Xenopus tropicalis: one gene and its partner. The protein of the gene in region 2 interacts with the protein of the main gene of each other region in a pairwise test. Links are inferred from orthologs where the notes say so. Each region holds a gene or a part of one and is shown on either strand. Other genes may lie near its edges.

Region 1 (2,414 bases), on a different chromosome or scaffold from region 2:
CTCTTGAGAAAAAAGCTAAGGAACCCTGTTTTATTTAAAATATTCCACTTACAATATAGATCGAGAAGTTAGTGCAGGAAACACATGGTGTGGTGGTTAGATGGAATTCGATACAAGACAGAAAGGGGGATTCCGCTCTTTATTTACAACATGTTAGTTTCACATCTCTCAACACTGTCAATAACTTAAGGGAAGCTGTGTGCTCTGTGTTTGGCAATAGTTCCACAATTCATTTGGCTGGTTACAATGTCTAATGATGAAGTACTGGGTGTATCCAATCCTGCTAACTAACAACTGGCATCTTTTAAAAATCAATAGTAACCTACAGTTTGCTAAAAAATTTAGAAGGTTTCAATGGATAAAATATTCAATTTTATGGCCAATTTAACAGGACTTACACATTATAAAGCAGCCATTTGAGTATTGTGACAACATTTGTTAAGCCATTAGTTGCCACAGCAGAAAACAAAGACAGGGAAATAGCTGAGCTTACATTACCTGGAGATCTGTGCATAACAATAGAAATGTATTTAAAACAGAAAATATAATAATTATATAGAAAGGCAATGTGTTGTTAATGTAAGGGCAGCTTTTATATGAAAAATGTGATTGGTATTCAGATTCATTTCAGTAGCAGGGACCAGATACACAGAGCACTGTGATTAGCAAAGGTAGCAGCCCCAGCCTTTACTGCATAAAACAGAATCACTTCTTACAAACAGCTGTTTTTGTTATTCCTCTTTAAAGTCTGAAAATAAATACAGTCCCTTATATCTCACAAGTAATGGCTCAGATCAAACAGCTGGAGTATCTGAGTTCAATGTAGCAACTTGCTCCATTTAACGTTCAGTCCTCTGCTCCCCAACATTTTACCATGGCAACGCTCATGGCGCAGCATAGGGCTCGGTAGGCAGACAGCAGCAAGGCCAGGATCCCACCGAGTCCACTCTATAGGAATCCCTCACGGCGAAACTGCTCTTGTAAGATATTTCTGTACTCATCAAAGCCACCTTCAATTCGTGTCACACCACCGTTTTCACAAACCCAGAGTTCTTGGCACACGAGTCTGATGAAACGTTCATCGTGAGATACCAAGATCACTCCACCCTGTAACAGAGAATAAAATATTAGGAGATACGAGGCAGAGCCCAGTGACAAGTGGAGCTGCTTATTACAAGGAGTTCTGCTATAGAAAGCTAAAGTGCAAAAAGAACAATACCTTGAATTTGTTCAAGGCTCTCCCCAAAGCTTCAATGGTCTCCATATCCAAATGATTTGTTGGTTCATCCAAAATATAAAAGTTGGGACTAAAAGAAAAACATGAGAGGAAGAACTCTTAAAGGAAAAATAATTTAATGAAGAGGAATATGCACACAAGCATTCCATTTTATTCTACAGAATAAGAAACTGCTATGCATGTCTACAATAGTAATGTCTATGCAAACGCTTCTCTAAAAAGCAGAGCAGCAACTCACACACAGATGGATATTAAGTGCAGGAATGTTTGATAAACTTTAAATCCTTTTGAGTTTTCCATCAAAATGTTCCACTGAAAACAGCCAGAATCTTGTATAATTAATAAGTTCCATTTCGCAATATGTTCATTGAGCACATGAACTCACCAGGGCATGGTCATTTGTGCAAATGCCACTCGGCTCTTCTGGCCCCCAGAAAGACTAGCAACTGGTCTCACTGCCAATTCGCCAGATATCCCATAACTTCCCAGCTGGTGGCGATATTCCTCCTCAGTTTTACCTACAAGACACAGAGTAATTAAAACAAAGCAGTATGGAAGACCAGAAAAAGCAACATGAGTGATCCATATTTTCACCACAATTCATGTTAGACAACTGCTTAATTAATTAATCAATCCATCTTGCTTTAATGTAATGGCACGGAGGCAGTTTGGGCCTTTTAGGCAGGGAGAGGGGGCACCAAAACAACTGAAAATACCATTGTATTGAAAAAGGAGATTTATACTTACCGTTACATCCTTTTCTCTTAGTCCTATAGGGGACACAGGCACCATGGGGTTAAATCCCCTCCCATCAGGAGGCAGGACACTGTATAATTTTGGTTTCTCTCCCCTATATAACCTCTTACCCCACCCAGGTACCTCAGTTATGTAACAAGACCGAGCAAACAGTGCTCTTAACTTAATAACTATAAGCTATAACACAGCTGAGTGAGAAGGTATGCATGATCCCTAAGTTTCCAGGGAGGGTGGCCTGTGTCCCCTATAGGACTAAGAGAAAAGGATGTAACGGTAAGTATAAATCTCCTTTTCTCTTGCGTCCTGGGGGACACAGGCACCATGGGGACATACCAAAGCCGTCCCCACTGGGAGGGAGGAAACTGAACTAGAATTTATTGCAGTCTAGCTTTGAACTACCGACTGCAGAACTTTACGCCCG
Region 2 (3,574 bases):
CCTTGTAAGAGTAGATGACTTTGCAAGTCAGCGGATAGTTCCGTAGGGTGCCAGAAGGACTGGAGCTGCTGTCATCAAAGGCATCCATGCTGTCCTCCAACTCCTCTCCATCCTCCCGATCCACATCTGTGCCTCCCTGTCAGCAAACAACCAAAGAAATCAGGCCTTCTGTCGGGGGAACATCAAAACCAACAACACACCTAACGCTGTGGCTATTCTTCACCTTAAAGGGGTTGTTCACCTTTGAATTAACTTTTAGTGTGATGTAGCAAGTGATATTCTGATAAAATTTGTAATTGGACTTTATTTTTTATTATTTGTATTTTTTTTTTTTAGTTATTTGACTTTGTTTAGCAGCTTTTCAGTTTGGAGATTGAGCAGCTATCTGGTTGCTAGGGTCCAAATTACCATAGCAACCAAGGCCTGGTTTGAATGAGAAGGCTGGTATATGAATGGCAGAGGGACTGGATAGAAAAGGTTATAAAAAAAAGTAACAATAACAAGAAAACTGGAGCCTCACAGAGCAATCGTTTCTGGCTGCCGGGGTCAGTGACCCCCATTTGAAAGCTGCAGAAGAAGGCAAATAGTTCAAAAACGATAAAAAATAAATAATGAAGACCAACTAAAAAGTTGCTTAGAATTGGTCATTCTATAACATACTTAAAGGTGAAGTGTAAAAAAGTGTAAAACCTGACAAATCCACAGATATCCATAGTACACGATGAATGGTAGCACCTATTGCCCTTCTACAGTATTTGTGTCTATCTTGCTTGGACTGTAAGCTTTGTGGTACAAGGCCTGCTGTCTCTTTAAACAGATGTGTAACTGTACAACTTTATTTATTTACTGCAGTGTTTTCAGCACTGGCATTTAGAGAATTCTGCCTTTCAGCACAAGAAGCCGGAGTTAATGAGTAAGCGAGACGCTCCCCTTGTGACACCGGAGACTCACGCTGCAATTACTACACATTCCCAGCCTTGTGTTCCTTTCATTTACATTTGCTGTAAATGAGGTGCCACTCATCGGCCGGTGCCTCCCAGACAGTTTATCAGACTGCCGGCCAGCGTTTCATAACCTGGGAGCATGATTTATGGTGAGACACCCACTGGCTCATTAACTTGTAATATAGAGAATTCCTCATGTTAAAGGGCAATAGGCCGGTAATAGATTTAACTTACAATCAGCAGCTCGGAAATACATTGCTTTGGGTTGTTCCTGCCTGTGGTTTTATGGCGAGATTTAATTACAGTAAGTACTGTAAATCCTAATTCACTTCCATTTTAATGCAATCACAGAATGACAAGGATCTTAGTATTAGTAACTACCCAAATGATATACCCAGCACACATGAGACAGCACATATGTGGCCCAATCGAATAGGAGATTGGCAACAGCTGGAACAGAACCCACTGGGCAATAATAGAAAAAGAAGTCATTCATGAGCTGCAGGTTGCCATTTTTTTGCAGTGACTGTAGCTGCAACCGTAAATAAGGTGCATTTTAATATAATATATTTTATATTATATTATATATAGAGGTAATGTGACTATACCATATGGGAGGAGCCATTATTCATCAGGGTTGGGAGGCTTGCCCAGCGCTCATTCTCCAGCTCCTCCATCACCTGATTCATTGCACTCTTCAGCCACGTGTCCACCGACACACCGATTTGCCGCAACAGATCCAGTCGGGCTTCAGCTTTTAGCTTTGTAATCTGTACAGGAATAGAACATTATTTGTTATTGTTTTTTATATAGTGGCATATTTCATCAGTCCCCGCCCCAGTGAAGCTTACAATCTAAGGTCCCTGTCAAATTCCTATCAGTCCCTGCCCCAGTGGAGCTTACAATCTAAGGTCCCTATCACATTCCCATCAGTCCCTGCCCCAGTGAAGCTTACACTCAAAGGTCCCTATAACATTGCCATCAGTCCCTGCCCCAGTGAGCTTACAATCTAAGGTCCTTATCACATTCCCGTCAGTCCCTGCCCCAGTGGAGCTTACAATCTAAGGTCCCTATCACATTCCCATCAGCCCCTGCCCCAGTGAGCTTACATTCCAAGGTCCCTATCACATTCACGTGGCCAATCTTGTTGCATCCAATTAACTTGCTTGTATGCTTTTGGTATGTGGGAGGAAGCTAAAGTACTGGCATGAAACCTATACAGACAATGGGAAAAAGCATAAACTCCTTGCAGATGGTTTCCAGGTCACAAAGGAACTTAGGATCCAGAGGCAGAAGCAGTGCTAACCATTTCTATGGACACATTTCCTTTGAATTTTGAATTAGAAATCACTGGCTTCCTGGTGGGAAGACATTTGCTTTGCCAATTGCGAGGAAACGTCGGGCATCTTAGTGATGCGTATGCCTTCTCACCGGCAGTTCACATTACTGCCGGTGGAAAAGTATTTAGGGGAGAGCAGTTGCCCACGTTAGCAGAAATTTATTGTGGGTGACTAATCTCCCTGTGGGACATTAGACTTAGCAATAATGAAGCATAACAAGGCATCAGTTACCAAAGACAGATAAGTAACTTATAACCAGATAGATAAATTACATGTTAAGTGAAAGGGTAGGAGGGTAGAGCTTTTGCTTGGCAATTCTCACTGTCTAATCAAGCACAAATAATCATTAGCTGCCCTAGGTATCCAGTATCTTCCTGCAACCTCATGTGCGTGCCACCATGCTGCTAATGTTCTCACAGCTATATTACAAATCCAAATATAGACCTTATTAGAAAGGCAACACAAAATAGGTCATTGGATTTGCCCCCTATATAGATACGCTAGTGCCCTCAGCTGTAAATGCCCCCTGAAAGCGGTTGCTAGTAATTGTAATTGCTCGTGGAGCATTTGGGCAAAACCAAATGGATCTGGGTGAATCTTTATTAAGGAAACTGGAGAAACACGAGTTAGATAAGGAAACACGAGTTAGATAATGAAAGTAAGAATCTGAGGTATAAGCAGCAGCAATAGGGCAATTTAGAGCCTAGATTATCTTTCTTACTTCCCCTTTATTTAACAATGCGGTACAGATGGTAGATCTGCATCCAATATTTATGGACTTTACACTCTAGGTATGGGAAATACCGGACCAGAAAGTCATAGGTGCATTACGAAACAGCCTCCCCCAGCCATGGGAAAGTAACCAGGCCAATGAAGTGTTGAAGTTTCTGATCTGAAAGGGCATACGGTAACCTAACCCCTGCAGCAACCAGACACAGGGACGCTAAACAATGTCACACCTGAGGAAGAGAATCAGGCGACAAAGAATATTGCCCTTTGTCGTGAAACCAGAGACAGATAGAGTCCTCATATTCTTGCCTAAGGCCTTAACCCTTACTGGGACATAATACTCATCAGCAACCAGTGACTTTTGCTGCAAGTTCTTGCTTCAAATCTTGCCTCTGTGCGCAAGCAAAGTTCTAAAATCTGGGAGCACAACACAACTGCACTGCTTGTTGGCCCCCCGATTTACCCCAGTGTTACAGATGGCACAACTTACCTCTGCCTTGCGCATATTCTCTCTAGTCTCTTCTATCTTTTGTTCCAGTTCCATCCGGCTCTGCTCTGAAA

Evidence for each region. The genes of interacting proteins can lie anywhere in the genome.
Region 1: the proteins of fchsd2 (region 2) and abcf3 interact in binary tests that used the Homo sapiens proteins (3 or more experiments, as listed by UniProt). The two-hybrid records come from large-scale screens. The link is inferred for Xenopus tropicalis from reciprocal best matches to the Homo sapiens genes FCHSD2 and ABCF3.

The regions. Positions count from the first base shown.
Region 1 is NC_030681.2:100,064,515-100,066,928, forward strand, and holds the end of abcf3 (ATP-binding cassette sub-family F member 3), read right to left. Parts: intron 1,756-2,414; coding exon 1,623-1,755; intron 1,308-1,622; coding exon 1,220-1,307; intron 1,108-1,219; coding exon 949-1,107; 3' UTR 575-948; downstream 1-574.
Region 2 is NC_030678.2:172,222,675-172,226,248, forward strand, and holds part of fchsd2 (F-BAR and double SH3 domains protein 2), read right to left. Parts: coding exon 3,504-3,574; intron 1,715-3,503; coding exon 1,553-1,714; intron 137-1,552; coding exon 2-136; intron 1-1. UniProt on the Homo sapiens protein: Adapter protein that plays a role in endocytosis via clathrin-coated pits. Contributes to the internalization of cell surface receptors, such as integrin ITGB1 and transferrin receptor.